Kluyveromyces lactis: one gene and its partners. The protein of the gene in region 2 purifies or fractionates together with the protein of the main gene of each other region. This does not show direct contact. Links are inferred from orthologs where the notes say so. Each region holds a gene or a part of one and is shown on either strand. Other genes may lie near its edges.

Region 1 (2,896 bases), on a different chromosome or scaffold from region 2:
TCGAAAAGTAAAAGGTCTAGTCGGCAAGACCGTAAACCAAAGGCAAGTCAACAGCATAAAATCTCCAACACAGGTAAACAGTCGAACACTAAAGACTTGCCATTAGCTGAAAGGAGAAAATACATCTGTAAGATTTGCTCCAGAGGGTTCACTACATCAGGTCACCTTGCCCGTCACAACAGAATTCATACCGGAGAGAAGCGTCATCAATGTCAGTTCCCCGGTTGTAATCAACGATTCTCAAGGCACGATAATTATATACAACATTACAGAACCCATTTCAAGAATAACCCAATGCCCGAGGAACAACAGCCTTCAATAAATACGCGGAGCTTGATACCATGACGCTTCCAAAGGATACAGATTAAAACCAATTAAACAAAAAAAATCCTCATAAAGTTTTCTCCCTTGTGTATTATACCCAAACGTGTACTGCTTGCATCATCACCACAGCAAATACTCTCTCTATGTTTTGTTGTAGTGATCCATCATTCTTACTTGAAATTTGGACCATTAAAATCTTCCATGGTATCCTCTTTTTAGGTAATTACCAACCTTAAGTTTAGTTAAACCTCACATATAATTAGACTAAGAAATTTGACCTCTCGTCACTATGAATTTGCCTTTGCTCTCTTTATATCTTACGTATCAAAAACGTTTTGGCATTTAGTTCTCTAAATAGTTTTTGTGTAATTATATAACACGCTTTGCCCTAATTCATGGCTGATGTTGAACCTTCACAATCTATATGGTCCATACAAAATTGTACCGTTTCTTGAGCTTGGTGTGCCAAATAAGCACTAGAGCATATATTGTTACCCGGATATTTCATTATGTAGTGTATGGGTGTCATTTGTTAATTTCAGGCCCAAGAAAATTTTTACCAACAGGTATAAAAGAGAGAGACCTCCTGTCACTGTAAGTTAGACTCAAGGTTACTTGATGATAACCAGTTTTTTACTTTTATTATACTCAGTAGCAGTTCCGAAAGACACCAAGGATACAAATATCGAGAGGCCTCGATATATTTTCATTGCTCACTGCGATCAATGGAAATCTTACCTTCTTCTAATCTATATACTTGCAACTAAGAGAAAGTGTCGAGAAAGCAGAATACAGTAAACTTTTTATGATGATACACCTAACAACAACAACATGAATTTCTTCAACCGATCAACTCATGAGGAATCCTTATTTTGACATAGCTTTTTAACCCTGATCCTTTTACATTCTGCTAGATCGCACTTTCTCTAATATTCTATGTGCGTATTCTTATAACTCTTAGTAAAGCTCATCTCTCTTTTGTAATTAAGTATCCGCTGCATATTGCAAGGTAATACTTTCACTATGGAAAGAATGAAAAGAAATTTGAAAAAAAATAGTACCAATGCGATGAGATGTTATCAAAGAAATCTGATTAATATAAGTCGAGTTCGTTGATCTTGTCATCGGTGGCACTGCCAGCAGAGCACAACGAGCAGGTGAACATGAGTCAGGATACTGGGGAGTTGAAGATTTGCGAACGGTGTTTGCCATTAGGGGAAAACACCCCAACTTTGATAAGATACCCCAATGGTAGAGAATGTAAGTTTTGTACCTTCCCATTCGATTCATACTCGTACACAATAAACCACACAACTTTTCATACCATATGCTGTCCTAAATGTGCTACGAAGAATCTGATATGTCAAGTTTGTTTGAACGACTTCGAACATGGAATACCGATGCATTTAAGGAATTCGATGAAACAATTGTTGAACGAGAATGCGGATTCAGTGATTCCGAAGAATGATATGATGAAAAGGTTCATTGGACTAAGCTCAAAACAAGTAGCACCGTTGAATATAGATAAATTGAAACAAGCAGAATCCATTCGGAAGTGGAGAGTTCGAGAACTGCCGTTTAACTCCAATGTCAACGATACCAAGGATACATTTTTCCTATACAATATAGACCCTAATCTGACAGAGTCTCAGATTGTTTCCCAGCTAATAGTCGCTACTAATAATAATTTGGAGCGTGAGAATACGTCATTGAAATTGAATTCGAAACTTAGGATCGCAACTTTAACATTCAAACAAGATCCGGATTTGTGGACACAAAAATTAATATCGATACTACCAAAGTTTAAAGTGGGACCCACCGTGGAGAAATGTTACCTTCTGATGAAAGGAAATAGAATCCATATAACATCTTGTCTATCAGATGATTTTGATGTCAATAATGTGAACTCAGAACCAGAATGGGATCGTTTGGTACAGAAAATTATTACAAAAGATGCCAAAATAATAGGTACGGAACCTGGTAAGAAAAAGGGCAAACCAAAATCGGGATCTAAATCCGATTTACATACTAAGTCTAAGTCTTCACGTCGCAGACACACACTGGATTTGTGACGGAGGGTTCAATTGAAATTTTTCTCAAGAAACACAATTTTGTTGTGACAGCCTTACGTGTGGTGTAAATACAGGCTGTCATTCTTTTATGTCACTTGAAAGTCGTATTTTAATATAAATATAAGCATACGGTCGATTGTGTATCTGAAATCACCAATGCATTCATAAAATATTTGCTATTTTCCAGAGCTCTCTGTGTGACCATCAATTCGGTTTTGCTTTTTCCGAAGACTTTCTAACATCAAATATTATTACATTCGCTACTTATGAATTCACTTGGAGTTTTGTTTTACTCTTTTCTATTCGCATTTAATCAATTGTACGAAATGGTTCTTTGGCCAATGTTCTCAGCTGAGCTCATTGGCAGTCCCACATATGCGTACGAAGATGTAGACAGTTTCCAAATGCATGTTCTAGACTCGCCGACTCAGATGCCACAAGAAGCAGTCCAAAAATCTGGTTTTAATGTACGTTTCCTATCCATTGCTTTGATATTCGTT
Region 2 (3,579 bases):
ATGTAAACCGATTGTCAACTTATCTGTTTCTGTGGTATTGAAAAAAGTATTCAAAGCCAGAATTGAATAATCCCCTGTGTTCGAAACATCATCTAGACCCATCACTTTAGTTTGTGTTCTAGTGAGTTTCTTCTTCAACGCTGGAGAACCTGGTTCAGAAAATGAAGAGTCAATGGTAGCCTCACTATATATTGGATGCCTTTCTTGGAACTTCGTTAATGCAATAGAAACGCAGTTTTTGGCTGTAGCAGACCATTGGTGAATGCTTCCCAAGTTTGAGATCTTTGAAAAGTCTAAGCAACCTTTCAAAACCAAATCTGTGTCATTAAGTTTAGTGTTAGCAACTTTGAAGTACAGGGTTACGAAGTTTTTGAACAATTCTAAAAACTCAGAGTCCCCACTTACAAGAGACCCATCCAAATGGTTACAAATAGCTTCTAAAACTCTTTCAATCAAACCAACAATAGTTGGATCATTGTTAAAATTGTTGTTGTTCAACACTAAAGTCATAATGTGGATGAAATCTTTGATGAAAATATTCATGTTTTCATTACAATTCTCGACGATTTTAGCCAGTAGCTCTAGAGTGACAGAGACATTACCGGAACGTCTTCTGTTCAAATCCGTTGTCGACCTCTTCACAAGGTAACTGCTGACCTTTTCCAATTTTGGACGTCTCGAATTAACATAATATAACAAGTACGAAGTCTCTGACCCTTTTGGCTTCTTATCGGGAGTTCGGCCTGGTGGATAACACTGATTCACCAATTTCTGGTGCTTAGGGGTGAAGAGAAAGCCCATTGACACGGATCGTTGGAGTCTTTTGGATGGGTTTTATCGTCGAACCATCAATAGTGTTGGCGATTTCAATATAGTATGCAATTTCTAAGTTTAAAAAATGTCTTCGAACAAAAAACCCTTTTCCAGTTTTTATTGCGTAATAGAGAGCCAATCATTATATAAACAAGGGAACTAGAAAAACTATAGCTGAAAAAGAACATAATAATGTTAATGATGATCATTATTTAATAAGAGAAGAACAACATATACTTTCTCATTATCTGTCATGTGTTTTCTGAAAGAATTTCAGAGTTTGTTGTATTCTAATAAAATATAGGTAGTTTAAAGACCGAAGTACTGACTGGAGGAAGTCACAAAAGAAACCAGTATCCAGCATTGCTGAAATAATACGAAAAAGGTACCTATGCTCTTGCGAGTAAAGCAATATGTAAACTATGTGTTCGGATACAGTTCCCTCTTTATTCGCTGACATTGTTTTATTTCTTTATAACACTGTGTAAATCTAGATAATCCAATTTTGGGATTGGATTGAAAATAAAATTGACATATACTTGGTGGAAACATAGGAAACTAATTAATAATAGTATCAGCTAAAGCTGTAACGTTGGTTCAAAGGGAAGTTAATCAAAGGCGGTAACCACGTACGATGGCTCCTGTTCCGATTTATGTCAAAGGTGGTATTTGGACGAACCTTGAGGATCAAATATTAAAGGCGGCTGTTCAAAAATATGGAACACATGCATGGAGTAAAGTAGCTTCGCTTCTACAGAAGAAGAATGCCAGGCAATGTCAATCTCGTTGGAATGAATTTTTGAATCCCAGTCTAAACTTCAAACCATTCAGCCAGCAGGAAGATGATAAACTACTAGATTTAGCGAAAAGAATTCCAAACCAATGGAAAAGCATCGGAGAAATGATGGGTAGACCTGCTCAAACATGTATCGACAGATATAATATCCTCCTGGCGATTGATAAGGATGATTTAGAGCTTGCAGCAACTACAGGGGTACAGATCGGTGAGATCAACCCAAATAACGAAAGCTTACCAGCCAAGGCTGATAAAGATGAGCTACTTGACGAGGAGAGAGAAATGTTGGCGGAAGCTCGTGCCAGGCTATTAAACACTCAGGGTAAAAAGGCTACTCGTAAGATAAGAGAACGTATGCTAGAAGAAAGTAAGCGTGTTGCATTCTTACAGAAGCGTAGAGAGTTGAAACAAGCGGGCGTTGATAGTAAAATCAAAGCTCCCAGGAAGAAATATTCTTCGCAGATGGATTACAACGAGGATATTGCGTATGAACAGCAACCACTACCGGGTATATACGATACCTCAAAGGAGGATGAACAGACTGAGAAGCTACTCAAGAGTTTTGAGAAATTGGTAGAAAGGAAAGGTTTACTTGACAGGAAATCTGATGAAAAGAAAACCATACCACAAAAGAGAAGGCAAGGCGAACAAATAACGTCATCAGTAACAAAATTAGATTCTGTACTAACTGATGAGTACAAGAAACCTAAACTTGAGCTTACTCCTGCTACTTTAAAAGGATCAAAACGGAAGATAAACAAAACAACATCTATACTTCATTTATTTGAATCATTGCCTTCTCCTAAGAACGATTTTGAAATTGTATTGGATGATTTAGATGAAGAAATGGAATCCACTGATGCTTTTAATACTGAAAGTTCGTATGTTAATGGTAAATATCCCCTAGAAGCCTTAATATCTTCCACGGAACATCAATCGGAAAACAAGGCAATGGAAATAATGGAATACATACCGACAGTATTCCAAATAAAAACAGAATTACAGGTACCCAGTCCGATAGTAGATCCAAAGAATGAAATTGACCGTGAATTGAATCGTATAATCTCAGCAAAGGAGAATGGTAACCCCATTTACAATTCCACGGAAGTAAACAATTACTTAGAAGAGATCATTAATTCTGCATCCACCACCGAAGTGCCCAGCACTGTCTTACATCCCAAGTTGGAAACTAGCTTAAAAACTATAACACCGGCTACGGAGCACGAACTGCTCGGCATGGAACGAAAAGTGCATGAACTGCGAACAGCGCTTGAGGATTCCGTCAAGTCTCACAGAGAGGCTGTTTCACAACTTTCACAAGATTTTGAAGAAAAACTACATCCGACAGTGTCAGGCTTAGCATACCAATACTACACTGACTACATGAAGTACAGGAACGACCATAAGACTATGCAAGAAGAGACACAATCTCTTGCGGAACAGATCAAACTTGCCCAGCGTAGTCAATGATTACCCGGACCCTTCTTTTTGAGTCTTCCTTCCATAATCATGAAATTTTCAAATTATGAACTTAAAGATGAAAAGATTTACGAAATTGCAAACTTTAAGAACAATATGAGACAGTTAGCAATTGCTCTGTGTGGACATAACAATTCTCCCCTTTATTTCTACTGGAACTCTTTCGAAGCCATCACAAAGCAAATACTAATTCCCGGGCCACGATGATCAGGTACACAGAAGAAGAACTTTTACAATTAAGACCAACCGAACCAGTTAAACCAAACTTCGACGTTGATGAATTCAACGCTATAATTGAAAAAGTGAAAGAAATCCAAGAAGCACATGAAGAAGAATTTTCTCACTTCAGAAGAAGATCTTCTCACCACCATGCTAAACCAAAATTCAAGCATTTGAAACCAAAAATTACTACCGATGAGGAAGGATGGTCTACACTAGAAACTGCTCCAGCGGTCAGAAGAAAGTCTGTGGCTGAAGAAGAAGAACCAACC
Region 3 (2,474 bases), on a different chromosome or scaffold from region 2:
TTCCTATAAAAAAAACACACACTCATGATATCGTGGCATGCGATATATTTGTTGTTTTTGCGAAACTTGCAAACTCTAATTCTTGCCCGTTCTCAGCTGAGAGATATTCCGCACCATGATTGTCCAGTTGGAAGCCATATTTAACACATAACATTTCTTTTGTCCGCAGGGCTATGGTGGGGTCATGGGGTATATCTGGAGGTTTCGTATAGGCATTTGGTGGGGTGGTTGAAAAGGGAATGAGGTGGATAATCATATTTCGCACAGGCTTTTAACGTTGCGCAGTACAGGGATATCATTACACTGGATAAAGCTAGATAAATTCTATATCTTCTTGTTCTAGTCGTTACAGTGGGATATCCAAAGTCCTCTGCGTGTACGTAAGAGGTAACTAAAGACATATCTATCAACATGTCTCGGATAATTATAGCTAAGATCGGTGATCGTAGCACCAAAACAATTTTTTTTATATCAATAAGTATGACAAGTTGTTCGCTGGTTTAGTTTCTTTTTTTGAAGCCTGGAGGGGCTTGGAACCGGCTGGGGCGTACCTGACTATTAGAATTAAACCTACTGGGAGCTCCAGAATTCGTATTGATAGGTTTATGACTTGGCTTCGTAACTCTATTTGAACTTTCTGAGTTAGTTGAAGTTATATTAGATCCATTCGTTCCAACGTTCATCTTGTTAGAAGTCTTCCCTTGACGAGCCTTTTTCGCATTATCTAATTTTTTTGCATTCTTCTTCTGGACTTCGATTCGTTCCTTCTTAGAGAGTTGGGGAGGTGACTCAACCGAGGTACTCAACACATGCTCACCCCGTAAAATTATTAGTCCAAAAGTCCTTCTTTCGACTTGCACATTGCTTGACAAGTTTCCTCCACTTTTAAGTACTTCTATGATTTGTTTATGAGGCATGCGTTCCTCTACACAATCTCCCATTACAAGGTTCATATATGCATCAAAAGCCATAAGTTGGCCAATATAAACCCTTCCGTCATGGGTAGCGACTCGTATTCTATAATCTATCAAATCTGATAGCTTCGTTTCCTTCTTTTTAACTTCAACTTGCGACATCGTCCTTGTATCTTTTGTATGATATGCTTAGAGATATAACTATTCTTCTTGGTGAACAAAGAAAGTGAAAAAGACTGTAAACTCGATTGTAAGAGGTATCCTTATATCATGCACAAAAAAGCGGTCCGTAGCAGTGATTCTTTATAGGACCAACGCAAGTTACTCATTGATCGTGAAACTAGTTAATGTTTTAATTTTCGATACAACATGATAGTTAGAATTCATCCACTATGCGGCTATGAAAAAAAATGATCACGTGGAAAATTATGTTTCTTTGGGATTTGAGATAATATGAATTATATTTGGTTCGCAAGATGCGAAAAGGAAACAAATACTGGTAAGCATCTTTAGATCAAAAAAAGCATTGCGTGAGCCTAGGTCGTACTCCTCGAACATCAGCACACTAATCATATCAACAGATACAAAGTTTGCAAATATGGCTGAAGAAATTAAGGATAAGCAAGAATTTCAAATAGGTGCAGAAGAGCCTGACTCTTCCAACGTTGCTTCACAAGCTAAAAGAAGTGCTGAAAGTGAGCTTGCTTCTACCGCTGATGCCAACGATAAGAAATCTAAAAAGAAGAGAAGAAGAAGAAACTATGATGATTTGGATGAAAAAATTGCTCAAGAAGACAAGGCATCTGCTACTTCTGGTGCTAACAAGGAAGAAGATAGTGAAAGTGAAGTCGATGACGAAAAATTAGATCAAATGATGGTAAAAGAAGATGAAGAAGAAGACGACCTTTCAGAAATCGATAGTTCCAATATTATAACTACTGGTAGGAGAACTCGTGGTAAGATTATTGATTATAAAAAGACTGCCGAGAAATTGGAAAAAAATGGTGAGGTTGGCAAGGATGATGATGATGATGAAGACGATGAAGAAAATGACGAAGAGTTCAAGGATCCAGCTGCTCCTGCCCCTGCCCCTGCTAGTCCGACTGAACCCAAATAGAAATTTGAATTAAAAATTTACTCAAGCGCATATAAAAGTTTGTAGTTTCACTAAATCTCCATGTTTGACATTATGGTAGTGTTTCATTTAAAAGAACAATGGATACGACGCAATGAACTGAGAAGGTATTTTGCAGTTAAGAAGTTTCAGGATGTCCTTCCAAACAGCTAGTATTTGCATAATTATGGCAGTCAATGTTATATACATAAAACAAGTGTCTAACTTAATCGGGATAAATGTCCCAGTCGATGATAATTCTGCTTCCCTTTTTCTTTCCGGGGCTTATACTTTCTATATAAACACCCTATAAGGAATGACCATAATACACGTTTAGAATTCCTAACAGCAGTTGTTTGTACTCTTTTTGTGTTTTTCGTTTGGTGCCGGTGTCAAAGAGATCGTAGGTCCCTTTGGAGCGTTGGCATTGTTTCCTGAGGCGTCAT
Region 4 (3,124 bases), on a different chromosome or scaffold from region 2:
GTCTTTGATTTAAGGTATGTGCCTGATGGTATGGAAATGGATGATGATCCTCGTGATGAATGTACCTCGCTTCCAAAAAATTACAAGCCGGCACAATTCAGTACAGATGCCCTTCAGCATTCCAAGGTAAAGCTTACATGGGATGAAACTCCTGCAGACCGTGTGGAAATATCTAAAAGAGCATTCACTCAAAAAGAAATTGAAGAAATGGACTTTAAAGCTTATTTAGCCTCCGATAGTGAAGAATCTGAAGTTGAGCATGATGATCAAGTTAAAAATAAACTCAAGGCTTTAGTAATGGATTCCGTAAAAGTGGGGCAAAAGTCACTATTTGATCAAAAGGAAGATGAAGACGATAATGAGGCTGATATGGAAATAACTTTCACTCCAGGCCTGGATGAGTCTGGCCAACAAGATACCAATGATAACGAAGAGGAAAGCACCATTGATAAGATTAGACGTAAAGAAAAAGAAAGACGTAAGAAGAGAAAGGACAGAGTCAAGGAGCTTAAGAAGGAATCAGAAGCCAAATTAAAGGAGAACCTTAAGAAGAAGAAAGATACTTCTCACAGCATCGATGACGATAAGAAAAAGGGAGAGTTAGAGCTCTTAATGCTAGATGAAAATGAGGGTGAATCAACAATTAACAACAAGGCACACTTCAACATGAATGAGATTCTCAAATCTGAGAAGGAAAAATCCAAAAAGGCCAAGTATCAAAACAAGGAGAAGATTGTGGATGATGAATTCACTCCAGACGTTAATGATCCAAGATTTAAAGAGGTCTTTGAAGATCACGATTTCGCGATTGATCCTACTCAACCAGAGTTCAAGAAGACACCAGCTATGGAGAAGATTTTAAAGGAACGTACAGTACGTTCAAGCAAAAAATCTAGGGGCAAAAAGCGTAACCACGAAATTGCAAATACTGAACATAGTAAAGACATAAATAAGATCGGCGGTTTAGTTGAAAAACTTAAGGCCAAGAACAAAAGAACAAAACACTAATTTGCAAACTTGTGGACACTTTATATCAACCCAAAGACGTCCACATCTTATATGTATATATTCAGCATTTGATTAAAGCATAAATACATCATTTCACTTAATCATGCGACTGTATCATGGCATGGTCTGTAACTTTAAGTCATTTCCTTATTTATCCAGATTTGTACGTCATATTCTGTGTGTGAACAAAAAGAAAAAGTGCACATTATCACATTATATGAAATAGGTTCATCTTTCTAAAGATTATCTAAAATTGTAGGTAATACACGGACAAACCGATAAACTTACTAGATAGACTCTGCCACTGCCATAATATCCAGGGAATAATGGGGCTGGTACAGGGTTATGAAAGTGAGAGTAGTGATGATGGCTCATCTGTAGCTGTGCCTAAGAGATCGTTAAAAACATCAAAGGCTGAATTGAAGTCCAAAAGACTTAGGAGGAACGGGAAAGGACCATGGGCAAAATGGCAAGGATCTAGTGACGATGAGATCGAACAATTATCAAAGGATTCAAATGCTTCTAATTCCTTAGATTTAGGTGGTGATGAGGATGCAGTGGCATCACAATCACTTGAAAGAACGAAATTTGTAGGCAGTACTGAAAAAGACTATCTGGGAAGATGCATTTTACACCCCCCAGTAGATATTCCATTAGAATTCAAGAAAGAACCACTATCATTCAGGTGCTTCCTTCCGAAAACCAAGATAGCAGAATACTATGGGCATAAGAATGGTACTACATCATTACGATTCATACCGAAAACAGGACATCTCTTACTTTCAGGCGGTAACGACAACATAATAAAACTATGGGACTTTTATCATGAGAGAGAACTATTAAGAACGTATGAAGGTCACTCTATGACTATAAAGGATTTGAACTTTACAGATAATGGACATTCTTTTGCCAGTGCATCATTTGATAAATGGGTTAAGATCTGGAACACCGAAAAAGGTATAATTGATAAAAGATTGCGTTTCAACTCTGTACCGAACTGTATTACATTCCACCCAAAAGACAAGAACCAACTAGTGGTAGGATTATCCAACTCCGAAATACGGCACTATGACTTGAGGCTATCAGAAAACCATGGGGAAGTACAGAAATATGATCATCATCAGGGTTCTATTTTGGCACTAAAGTACTTCCCTGATGGTAAGAAGTTAATCTCGTCGTCAGAAGATAAAACGGTCAGAATTTGGGAGAACCGAATCAATATTCCTATTAAACAAATCAGTGGCACAGCACAACATTCTATGCCATGGATCGATATTAATCCACAGGGTCAGTCTTTCTGTACACAAAGTATGGACAACACCATCTATACGTACTCAATGTTACCAAAGTATAAAAGACACCCAAACAAGACATTCAAAGGTCATAATACTACAGGTTATGGTATTCATTTTGCATTTTCTCCTGATGGCCAATACATTGCATCTGGAGACTCTAAAGGTCAGACGTTCATCTGGGATTGGAAAACTACCAAATTGTTAAAGAAATTTAAGCCATTTTCAAATAACCTGCCAGTAACCTGTATTGAATGGAATCCTCAAGAGACAAGTAAGTTATGTTGCGCTGGTAATACCGGAAAAATTGCCATTCTGGACTAATGAAGAATTGAGATTCTTTGAGACATTATTCTTGGTTTCGGCACAACCTTCGATAAGGTTATGTAGATATACTTAATGATTACATATAAATCATGCATAAAAGGAAACGGATTTAGACTTTCTTGCCTGTACTTCACCGATAGCCTCAACGAAATCTTCGTGCTTGATTGTTGATTGAGCGTTTCTTAATGCGATCATACCAGCTTCGACACTAACGGCTTTCAATTGAGCACCATTGAATTCATCTGTAGATCTAGCGAGTTCTTGCCAATTGATAGAATCATCAGTTGTCATTTTTCTGGAATGAATCTGTAGAATTTGAGCTCTTGCATCTTCTGTAGGGAGTGGGAATTCTATTTTTCTATCAAGTCTACCAGATCTTAATAAGGCCGGATCTAGAACATCAACACGATTGGTAGCAGCCAACACCTTAACCCGATCATCAGAGCCAAATCCATCCAATTGATTTAGCAACTCTAACATTGTTCTTTGTACTTCTC
Region 5 (4,025 bases), on a different chromosome or scaffold from region 2:
TTTGCTATTGGTTATTGATGTTAATTTTCCCACAAAACCGGAAATATTCGCCTTCCTCTCTGATAAATCTTGAAAAAGTACTGAGTATAGTAACTAGCACTGCTTTGTTGTAATCTGATCTTAACCTTATACCGTCTCTGGTTGGTTCGGATGGCAAATTTGCTTTGGTGTAGTAAATTACACTCTAGAGTTCAGCCTTTTATCCTAGAAGAAAACATTTCGTACTTACCAAGTTTTAGCATATGTCATGTTTCCGTTATTATATATTATTAAGGTTTTTCCTGGTGAAAAGGAACGGACACACAGAGAGGAAGAAGAAAAAAATAAACACACACACAGAGCTGATCTGCCAATATGAGTCCACCCGATATCTGTATGCGGCCGATTAATATTTCCCCAGTAACAATGTATAAATCAACGTGTAGAGACAGACAAAGAGTTTTCTCATACTTGCTCCTCTGACCAGAAGAGAAAGTCAAAAAAACCAATACAGAGTGTCTACCAGTCAAGCTATGGCATTTGAATCCTCATACGGTGTTTTTCTTTTCTGAAGAAGAGAAACACCTACTTAGAGTTAGTAGCGTAATACGCCTTGTGCTTTGAACTTGGTGAACCATATTTACGTTTCTGCACCATCAGGTGCACATTTGTGGGGTTACCAAAACGTGATACCGTTTAACGACACCAGTGCCAGAGCCAGTGCCGGTAAGGGAACAAGTAGTATCGAATTACATGCTGATCTCGTAATGGATTAAAACAATGACTGTGTGCCTTTCTTTCTCAACGTACAAGCATGCCTGTACGCTCTCTTCATCGTAAGTTTTTCCGTCCATATGGAGCGATAAACAGCCTTTGCGTATGTTTCTGTGTTTTCTTATTCCGCTTTGAACGAGCACTTCGCTCCTGCTCCAACAGAAGTTTTTCCGAAACAATGTGGAGTCTCATGTCATTCTGGTCACGTGATCGCATCTTTTCGTGTGACGTGATGTCAGGGTAACATGTTGTTGACTTTTTGGGATTTGTTGGTCACGTGTAAGTTTTTGAAATAGTATTTCCTAACTTCTTCATAAGGGCGGCAAAAAACCAAATCTGAAAGTAAACAAAGTAACTAACAACAGCGCACTTCTTGAGTGCAAGTTGACGAACAACACTACTGATTACCATCAGTATACACCTCTGATCATCGTCTGAAGCGTGTGTTTAGTTACCCGCTAACGAAGATCGGATGACTCAGGACTCTGAAGTGTTGCTATGGCACACTGTTTTACAACGACATAGGAACTACGTTCATTCCTGCATCGGTGATTTTACTTTGGATAGATCATCATTAGCGACAGCAGAAGCTGATACAACAAGTGTTAAGGGACCGAGGTCATCGAAGAAGCGGAAGGAACTGCAATTATGTCTAGCTACACAGGATTGTGTCGAATTGTACGATGTTAGCAATGGAACATTGGATGCGTTGGGTAAATGGCCTATAGCAGCTACTATTCTTTCTATGACCAAGTTGAATATGGATAGATGTTCACATACGATTTTGGTGTTGATAACTGATTCTGGGAATTTAACATTTTGGCAGTTTGAGAGGGATTCCGTGAGCGGGAAAGTGTACGTGCGTACTTTGGCAAACGAACCGATTTCCAGATCTGGGATCAGAAGGTTTGTACCTCAATATCAAATGGTTTCGGATCCACAGAGTAGATGTGTATTTTTCAGTGGGATTGAGCGTTCAAAGATGTGCGTGTTGGCTGACTGGCAACGTGGGAAATTGGTTGTTGGTTCTCCTATAGAGATTCAACGAAGTGATAGAATCACTTTGGCATCGGCAGCTTGTGATGTAAGTTTTGATAATCCGGTGAATGCTGCCATAGAGGTAGAATCTGGGACAAATGATTACTATTTGTCTTTTTATACAATGGATTTGGGTCTTAACACGTTGCTACTCCGGAAAGAGCATCTTTTAGAGGATAAATCCATCAATTTCGTTATGCAATGCCCAAATTTACAACAGTATAAGATTAAAACTAGACCGAATGATGAAACTGATCAAGATTCGGTAAATCCATTTGTTATTTGTGGTTATGATGGATACTTGACTCTGATAGACTTAGAAGGCTTTTATGAAGTGTCTGTTCAACTCCCCGTCAGAAAAACTGTTTCGTCAACTAATATCATCAACGGTACTATTCATAAATTGAAGAAAGATTTTTTCATCCTAATGCAGTCTAACCACGGAGATATGTACAAGGTCGGAATTATCCCTGATGAAGAAACTAAGGCGCCAGTTCTTGAAATTGCATACTTTGATACACTCCCCACTTCTGAAGACATCCACATTTTCAAGTCAGGTGCTCTTTTCAACGTATCAGAATTCGGGACCTCTTATTTAACACAGTTCGAAAGTCTTGGTGAAGATCTAGAAAAAATTACATCTTATACCCCGGGAAGGAGATCATTTATTGAAACAGAGTCCACTTTGAAAAACCTATCCATTCTTGACTCCTTAACTTCTTTAAATCCCTTGACGTCATTTCATGCATCAAATTCGACACCACTCACGATATTGGCTGCAGCCAATCAAACTGAGAATCTTGTTAAATTGACTTCTGCGGTTGATTTTGAAGAACTTATATCAACTACATTACCTAGAATACCATCAAAACTTTGGACCGTTAGAATTCCTAAAAACGAAACTCACAGTCTGATATTTCTTTCTATGGAAACCTCAACGACCATCTTGAAGATCCATGAGGGAACTGTCGAAGATTTTGGTGGAGATTCAAACCCATTTATTTTGAACAAACCATCATTGTTTGTTGGCGCTATGGTTCAAAGAAGTATTATTCAAGTTACTCGGGATTGTCTTTTACAAATTATTGAAATGCATGATGGTCCATACACCAAAAAACTTGAATGGTATCCACCAGCTGGTGTTGGCATCGTGACAGCATTTTGTAATGAGACACAGTTAGTTGTCGCTTTAACAAATCATGAAATATGCTATTTTGAAATCATAGAAGATTCGTTAAACGAATTACAGGATCGAGTGGAGATGGATTCTACAGTGAATTCTATTGCATTGCTCGCCGGTCAAAAGTCAGGCTATTGTGTATTAGGATGTGAAGATTCTAGTCTGCAGATTCTCAACTTACAGAGTAAACATCCAGATTTTTTCACTATCTGTGCTATTCAGTCACTAATATCAAAACCGCACTCTCTACTTTTCATGCGGGACACGTCGGATCTTAAGATCCACGTAGGTATGAAAAGTGGTGTTTATCTGTCATCTAAACTCAATATCAATGATGGCACAGTGTTCGATGTACGTACTAGATTTGTCGGAACGAAGCCCGTCCAGGTAAATCTCTTGGACAATATAGATATCAATCACAAAGATGATGATGATGATGAACCTGGAGAAAATGATTCAAAAATAGACGATTTCAAGAAGAAGATTTCGGATTTCACTCCACTAGTGGTATTGAATTCAAGCATATCTTGGGTAACTTACGAAATTGATGATAAAATCACATTACGTCCTTTGAAAACAGATGAGGGGATAACCTTGAAACATATAAATGCTTTTATCACGGATGATATCAAGCGCAACGGCTGCTGTTCCATAACCAGCAAAGGGCAACTCCTAATCGGCAAATTAGATAACTTTTTGTCCTGGAGTAACTGGTTCAATGAGAAAAAGTATACCCTTGTTAATGACGAACTTAAAAACGCTGGCAATGAAGAAGAGGATGAAGATGAGGATGAAGATGAGGATGAAGATGCAAGTGAGAAGTACGAAATCGTTGGTTATCAATCACAACGGATCCTTTCAGATACAACGGACAATTCGTTATCATATGTTATTTCAAAGACAGCTAATAAAGAAACCAGTCTATCAGCTATTCGCGATGATAAGCTATTGGCAACAAACAATGGGAATACGGTCGTGATTATTGCTAAAGAGGTCTTTAATGCTGTCTGTAGTTGCAATTTCGGTACAAATGTTAAATATATTGTCATATCTA
Region 6 (4,070 bases), on a different chromosome or scaffold from region 2:
TATATTTACAAATAAGAACAATACCTATTTATCGATACTACCTGAAACAAAACAGTAAAATAAAAAACATTCAACAAGTGTATTCTTAGTTACTATCACCCCACAATTGGCGCCTAGCTTGGGCTTCATTCCTGCGAATAAAACGCTTTGTCTGTTTCTCTCTCTGTGTATTGTCACCTTTCATACAGTGGAAAACCTTTAAATGATGTTTGAAAATGTTTAACTAAAATACAATTGACAAAAAGAACATACACTTACGGTGGCAAACCTTTATCAGGGAGGAAACAGGGAAATATAGGGTCTATCGACAGTGAAAAGAGTCAAAGTTTATACTAAATCTCCCAATGGATGTTCTATTAGGTATAAGAGTCAAGGATTCGGTGATATTGGCCTCTTCAAAGGCTGTAACTAGGGGTATTTCAATTTTGAAAGATTCAGATGACAAGACCAGACAATTACTCCCTCACACACTAATGTCGTTCTCTGGTGAAGCTGGTGATACAGTACAGTTTGCTGAATATATCCAGGCTAATATGCAATTGTATTTGATTAGAGAAAATTATGAATTGTCTCCTCATGCGGCATCGAGTTTTGTTAGAACAGAATTGGCTAAATCCCTAAGATCGAGGAAACCATTCCAAGTTAACGTATTAATCGGTGGTTATGATACCAAGAATGAGAAAGCAGAGTTGTACCAGATAGATTATCTAGGTACTAAGGTAGAATTACCATACGCTGCCCACGGTTACGCTGGTTTCTACACATTCTCTCTATTGGATCGTCATTACAGAGAGGATTTAACAGTAGATGAAGCCTTAGGTTTATTGAAGCAATGTGTACAAGAGCTAGAGCTAAGAATGCCAGTTGATTTCAAGGGGGTTATTGTAAAAATCGTGGATAAGGATGGTGTTAGGGTCGTTGACGACTTTTAGTGCAATCTTTCTAACCAGAATCAAGTACATACACATATTTACATCTTTTGTATAAACAAAACTCAAAGTAATATCTTATCTCAGAAATACCCAAGAGTCAAAAGCATTTTAAGTTTGGAGGTGTCGCTGGTAGATTAGCGTGTATCGATTTGTCTTCTCTCTCTTTTTGACGTTGATCAATATACAATTTTGAGATTTATTGACTTTATTGTAAACCATCTTATCTCATCTCATCTCAACAAAACATGAAAAAAAGGATAGGCAACATCACTGCAACAGCTTCGTCTGATCTGTCCTTTCTAGTACCTACCTAAGTTAAGGTTGCTGCTGCGAATAGCATGTCTGATGTCAAGAAGGAGATATGCAAAGTACTCGGTTTAGATGATGAGATAGTCGCTGATTTTATCATCAACATAAATAAGAACTGTACCACGAAGAATGAGTTTAAGAAAAAACTGTTGGAGATGGATCAGGATTTGAGTGCCGCTGTTGTGTCCGACATTTATGATGTGGTGAACAAGACTGCTGGAAGCACAGCAGCCACAAGGGTTAAGACTCTTCTTGCTGAGCAGCTTGATGTTCACGATGATGTTGTCACCAATTTCATTATGGACATTTGCAGTAAGAGCGAAACGTTGCTCAAATTCCGGGCAAAATTGAAAGAAATGGAGGCTGGTGTATCGGATAGTCTAGCTCTTCGTATTTTCAACATTGTTCATTCCTCAAATGTGGCTGTCAAAACGGAAATCGAGGATACAAAGTCTGCACTTTCCTTACCCAACACTACTGTTTCTTGGGAAGGAATCGAAGAAAAAGCTTCCAACAAATCAAGATTTAGGAAGAATGAAACGGTTGATCCAGAACCTGTGCTTGATAAAGTGTATCCTGGAAAGGTACAGAACGTCACAAAATTCGGATGTTTTGTGAGAATTTTTGGGGTAAGAAATACTAATGTCGACGGTCTTGTGCATGTATCGGAACTTAGTTCATCGCATGTTGATAAGCCAGAAGACGTGGTACACAGAAACCAAGATGTGTTCGTGAAAGTTATAAAGATACAGAATAATGGCAAAATATCACTTGCTATGAAAGGCATTGATCAGAGTACTGGAATGGAAGCGGCAACTCGGGGAAGAACCAAAGAAAAGGTGATTCCTAAGCGAAAATTAACTTCACCAGAACGATGGGAAATAAGACAACTTATCTCAAGTGGTGCCGCTTCAATCGAAGACTATCCTGAGCTAAAAGATGACTATAATATAAGTCAACCTACGAACTCTGAAGCAGATGGCACCAACGAACAAAAAGAAGAAGAAGAACTTGAAGTTGAGATAAATGTCGATGATGAGCCCAAATTTCTAAAAGGACAAGTTAAACCAGACAGAAAATACGAATTACCATCTATAACTAAGGTTCCAAAGGGATCGTTGAATAGATCAGCCATGGTAGGTTCATACACGATGAAAGAACATAGAGAAGAGAAGCTTAAACGGAAGAAAGAGGTAAAAAAACAGCTTAACAAAAGTAAACAATTGGCTGATCCCAGTAGTAGTAAAGTTCTGTCTAATTCAGAGTTTGATGCAAGGCAATTAGTTGCTACAGCTTGGGAAAGGAGCAGAATGAAAGAGCGTGTATCCTACGGAAAAAGGACATCTCTTCCAATCAAAGAACAGAGGGAAAGATTACCAGTGTATCGAATGCGTCAACAACTTATCGACGCAGTTATTAAGAATCAGTTCTTAGTTATTGTAGGGGAAACAGGCTCAGGTAAAACAACTCAATTAACTCAGTATCTGGATGAAGAAGGCCTGAGTAACAAGGGAATGATTGGATGTACCCAACCTCGGAGAGTTGCGGCAGTTTCTGTGGCCAAAAGAGTTGCCGAAGAAATGGGATGTAACGTCGGTGAAGAAGTCGGTTACACAATTAGATTTGAAGACGAGACCTCATCAAGAACCAGAATCAAATACTTAACCGATGGTATGATGCAAAGAGAAGCGTTACTGGATCCCTTGATGTCCCGTTACTCTGTTATTCTTCTTGACGAAGCTCATGAAAGAACAGTAGCTACTGATGTTCTTTTCGCGCTATTGAAGAAAGCGGCCTTGCAAAGACCTGATTTAAAGGTCATTATTACTTCTGCCACCTTAGATTCCGATAAATTTTCGAAATACTTCATGAACTGCCCGGTAATCGAAATCCCAGGGAAAACTTTCCCCGTAGAAGTATTATACTCAAGCAAACCTCAAATGGACTACATAGAAAGTGCTCTTGACACAACTATGGATATACATATCAACGAGCCCCAGGGTGATGTTTTGGTCTTTCTAACTGGTCAAGAAGAAATTGACACTTGTTGTGAGATATTGTACGAAAGAGTGAAAGCTTTGGACGGCACAATTCCAGAACTTATTATTTTACCAGTTTATTCGGCACTTCCTAGTGAAATTCAATCAAGAATTTTCGAGCCTACTCCGAAGGGCTCTAGGAAAGTGATATTTGCCACGAATATTGCTGAAACATCCATCACCATTGATGGGGTTTACTATGTCATCGATCCAGGCTTTTCTAAAATAAATACGTACAATCCACGAGTTGGTATGGAACAACTTCTCGTGTCTCCAATTTCGCAAGCCCAAGCCAATCAGAGAAAGGGAAGAGCAGGTAGAACAGGCCCTGGCAAATGTTTTAGGCTTTATACCGAATCTGCTTTTAAAAATGAAATGCTTCCTAATACTGTCCCAGAAATTCAAAGGCAGAATTTAGAGCATACAATATTGATGCTTAAAGCCATGGGTATCAATGATCTTTTGAACTTCGAGTTCATGGATCCACCTCCCAAGTCCTTCATGGTATCTGCGCTCGAAGAACTTTTCAATTTGCAAGCCTTAGACGAAGAAGGGTTTTTAACAACATTGGGGAAAAGAATGTCGCAGTTTCCAATGGAACCTGGGCTCTCCAAAACATTGCTTGCATCTGTCACCAATAAGTGCTCTGATGAAATGTTGACAATAGTGGCCATGCTTTCCATTCAGAACGTATTTTATAGACCTAAAGATAAACAACAGGAGGCAGATAACAGAAAGGCAAGGTTCCACCATCCATATGGCGACCATCTAACTCTTTTAAACGTATTCA
Region 7 (2,233 bases), on a different chromosome or scaffold from region 2:
AATGCTGCCACTCCATTTCATATAGAAGATGTTATAGATAAAAACCTTAAGAATGAAGCGGTGGCTCAATGGTAGAGCTTTCGACTCCAGTTAAATCCTGGAAATTTCTATGGAAACAAAATTGCAATCGAAGGGTTGCAGGTTCAATTCCTGTCCGTTTCATTTTTGCATTTTTTTTGGAAATCACTACCCCAACTCAACTGGAAAACTAGTAAGCAATAAGAAATCCATGGTGGCTGGAACAGCTGTTACACCGTGAACGAGACCTTCTTGGAATGAAAAACATAAGGTATTAATCTCTAGAGATTTTTTTAGAATGAGCCTTTGAATTGTAAAACCTACATAAACTATACTATCATTAATTATACTAATACTAATATTCCCTTTATTAAGATAAGCAGTTCCCTAATTCTATTACAACTGAGGAAAGCTATACAGTGAATCCATAATTATTCCGATGTTTCCTTGTTTGCTTCAATAATATTCAGACTAGTGCTATATTAATTCGCTTCTTCTGCGAGTTCTCCATTTTCCTCTTTATCGTCAGATTTCTCTGTTGTTCCAGTCGGCGTAGGGGGTTGATCACTTTGCTTGTTCACATCCTCTCCTACGTATAGCACGTTATTACATCTGATGAAAATGTCCCCAACTTTCCCACTTGAGACATCATTTATGATCTCTTCCGCATCTGTTAGTTGTAGATTGAAATATGTATCTACCGATACAAGTCTTCCTTTATATTGTATTTTATTGAATTTGAGTGTCACCAGCACATCTTTGTCTATCAATTGATGTAAAAAGGGTTTAGGGTTAATTGGTTTGAATTCCTCTGGATCCTGCAACGTTTAAATTGGTTAGTAAGGTGACAAAATCTGTGGATTCATCGATCGCAGATGGACATAATCGTCCTAGCTGCGACCAAAAAAGTATGGAACAAGAAAACTTACCATTTCAATACGTTAATGCGCGGGTGTTCTGATATGTATCGATTACACGATATAATTCGAGAATCTGTTAAAGGTTTTATTACGTCTGTTGGTTGCTACGTAATGTTTTCGTTGTCTATCTTTTTGCAATACTGTATTTTCATGTTTTTCAATATGGCATGGAAATATTAGATGCCCTACCAAGGGAACAAATAAAACAAACCAAAGTAGTCCGGACAGTTTTCAAAAGTTTTTATGCCATGCACTGGGTAAGTCATACTTAGATATATATTAAATAATGACAATACGATATGTTTCTTCCAACAGAAGGAACAGGGTTCATTCAAATTTGAGTCAGTTTTAATGAAAGGTTTGGTTTACCTGAATCGTATTCAATTCTTAACATGGCCCACGTCAAATCCACAATCACTGACGAGATGGCTAACGCATAAACCAAAGAAATGGCATAGAAAAAGTTACTATTACCGGAGCCTAATCCAATCCATAGGTAGTAGAAGATTGGTGACAAAATGATGGCATGAATGAATAAAAGGGTTGATATGACTGGATATCTTAGATACCCAAAGATCGGTTTGAAAAATGGGATAAAACTTAAGAAAAACCCTCCGTCACCTAACGTTGGGTATGATTTGGTGAGCGTAATCCAACCTAGACATAGAACAAATGCGTAAAACGATTGCTGATTGAATCTAATAGTGAAAGGTGGGATAAATGAAACAACAAATATGTTGAACACAGATTTGAAAAATGGGATGAAAAATTCGAACATTTCAATAAAGAAATACCACCACAACCCTAGATTTGGCCTTATCTTACTGAAAGTAATCAATATCCAGTATGTTGAAGTCAAATAGTTCCAGTTATCGTTATTTAACTTGAAACTGATCAACTGCAAAACAATCGATACCAATGTACACTTGACAACAAGGCCGAAAGAATTTGATCCACAGATTCCTGCCAATGGGATCAACAGTAGATAAGCGTAAGGTGATAAATAACCAGCCAACGCAATGCATATGGCTGACAGTGAGAACTGTCTAGATAACGCAAATAGTAAAGAAGTAGAAATGGAAAGGTTCACAAATAGACATGTCGATTGTGAGACACATGATAAAAGTACCAAAGGGTTCACTGCATAAACCACACCTGGAATATAACTAGGAATTTGCAATTGGCGTTGATATATCTTAGCTATTTGCATCAATTGATACGCTATTAGAGTGTCCATGGCCGCAAACAAAACGGGCATTAGAAACTCCGCTTGTTGAACGAATGCCATTAAAGCT

Evidence for each region.
Region 1: the proteins of CEF1 (region 2) and ECM2 purify together in Saccharomyces cerevisiae (affinity purification with mass spectrometry; 5 studies listed by BioGRID, with this or other methods). This does not show direct contact. The link is inferred for Kluyveromyces lactis from reciprocal best matches to the Saccharomyces cerevisiae genes CEF1 and ECM2.
Region 3: the proteins of CEF1 (region 2) and SMB1 purify together in Saccharomyces cerevisiae (affinity purification with mass spectrometry; 4 studies listed by BioGRID, with this or other methods). This does not show direct contact. The link is inferred for Kluyveromyces lactis from reciprocal best matches to the Saccharomyces cerevisiae genes CEF1 and SMB1.
Region 4: the proteins of CEF1 (region 2) and CDC40 purify together in Saccharomyces cerevisiae (affinity purification with mass spectrometry; 5 studies listed by BioGRID, with this or other methods). This does not show direct contact. The link is inferred for Kluyveromyces lactis from reciprocal best matches to the Saccharomyces cerevisiae genes CEF1 and CDC40.
Region 5: the proteins of CEF1 (region 2) and RSE1 purify together in Saccharomyces cerevisiae (affinity purification with mass spectrometry; 4 studies listed by BioGRID). This does not show direct contact. The link is inferred for Kluyveromyces lactis from reciprocal best matches to the Saccharomyces cerevisiae genes CEF1 and RSE1.
Region 6: the proteins of CEF1 (region 2) and PRP22 purify together in Saccharomyces cerevisiae (affinity purification with mass spectrometry; 4 studies listed by BioGRID). This does not show direct contact. The link is inferred for Kluyveromyces lactis from reciprocal best matches to the Saccharomyces cerevisiae genes CEF1 and PRP22.
Region 7: the proteins of CEF1 (region 2) and SMX3 purify together in Saccharomyces cerevisiae (affinity purification with mass spectrometry; 3 studies listed by BioGRID, with this or other methods). This does not show direct contact. The link is inferred for Kluyveromyces lactis from reciprocal best matches to the Saccharomyces cerevisiae genes CEF1 and SMX3.

Annotation. Positions count from the first base shown.
Region 1 is NC_006042.1:1,698,947-1,701,842, reverse strand, and holds ECM2 (Pre-mRNA-splicing factor ECM2), read left to right. Parts: upstream 1-1,487; coding exon 1,488-2,396; downstream 2,397-2,896. Other genes in the region: KLLA0_F18524g (uncharacterized protein), read left to right, coding at 1-345; KLLA0_F18480g (uncharacterized protein), read left to right, coding at 2,663-2,896. UniProt on the Saccharomyces cerevisiae protein: Involved in pre-mRNA splicing. Facilitates the cooperative formation of U2/U6 helix II in association with stem II in the spliceosome. Binds to RNA.
Region 2 is NC_006039.1:634,851-638,429, reverse strand, and holds CEF1 (Cef1p), read left to right. Parts: upstream 1-1,447; coding exon 1,448-3,079; downstream 3,080-3,579. Other genes in the region: EFR3 (Efr3p), read right to left, coding at 1-801; CAF20 (Caf20p), read left to right, coding at 3,292-3,579. UniProt on the Saccharomyces cerevisiae protein: Involved in pre-mRNA splicing and cell cycle control.
Region 3 is NC_006038.1:48,023-50,496, forward strand, and holds SMB1 (mRNA splicing protein SMB1), read right to left. Parts: upstream 1,077-2,474; coding exon 501-1,076; downstream 1-500. Other genes in the region: CHZ1 (Chz1p), read left to right, coding at 1,513-2,031; Rab family GTPase YPT31, read right to left, coding at 2,371-2,474. UniProt on the Saccharomyces cerevisiae protein: Plays a role in pre-mRNA splicing as a core component of the spliceosomal U1, U2, U4 and U5 small nuclear ribonucleoproteins (snRNPs), the building blocks of the spliceosome.
Region 4 is NC_006041.1:1,891,190-1,894,313, forward strand, and holds CDC40 (Cdc40p), read left to right. Parts: upstream 1-1,334; coding exon 1,335-2,624; downstream 2,625-3,124. Other genes in the region: pre-rRNA-processing protein ESF1, read left to right, coding at 1-1,008; proteasome regulatory particle base subunit RPT5, read right to left, coding at 2,715-3,124. UniProt on the Saccharomyces cerevisiae protein: May function in the second step of pre-mRNA splicing. Regulatory protein involved in replication and mitotic spindle formation and/or maintenance. Required for initiation and completion of S-phase and for initiation and completion of DNA replication.
Region 5 is NC_006037.1:720,992-725,016, forward strand, and holds the start of RSE1 (U2 snRNP complex subunit RSE1), read left to right. Parts: upstream 1-1,225; coding exon 1,226-4,025. UniProt on the Saccharomyces cerevisiae protein: Involved in G2/M transition. Required for pre-mRNA splicing and endoplasmic reticulum (ER) to Golgi secretion pathway. U2 snRNPs associated protein required for the pre-spliceosome assembly.
Region 6 is NC_006038.1:1,021,127-1,025,196, reverse strand, and holds the start of PRP22 (DEAH-box ATP-dependent RNA helicase PRP22), read left to right. Parts: upstream 1-1,270; coding exon 1,271-4,070. Other genes in the region: PRE1 (proteasome core particle subunit beta 4), read left to right, coding at 345-932.
Region 7 is NC_006041.1:436,436-438,668, reverse strand, and holds SMX3 (mRNA splicing protein SMX3), read right to left. Parts: upstream 951-2,233; coding exon 948-950; intron 837-947; coding exon 501-836; downstream 1-500. Other genes in the region: GPI-anchor transamidase subunit GAB1, read right to left, coding at 1,270-2,233. UniProt on the Saccharomyces cerevisiae protein: Plays a role in pre-mRNA splicing as a core component of the spliceosomal U1, U2, U4 and U5 small nuclear ribonucleoproteins (snRNPs), the building blocks of the spliceosome.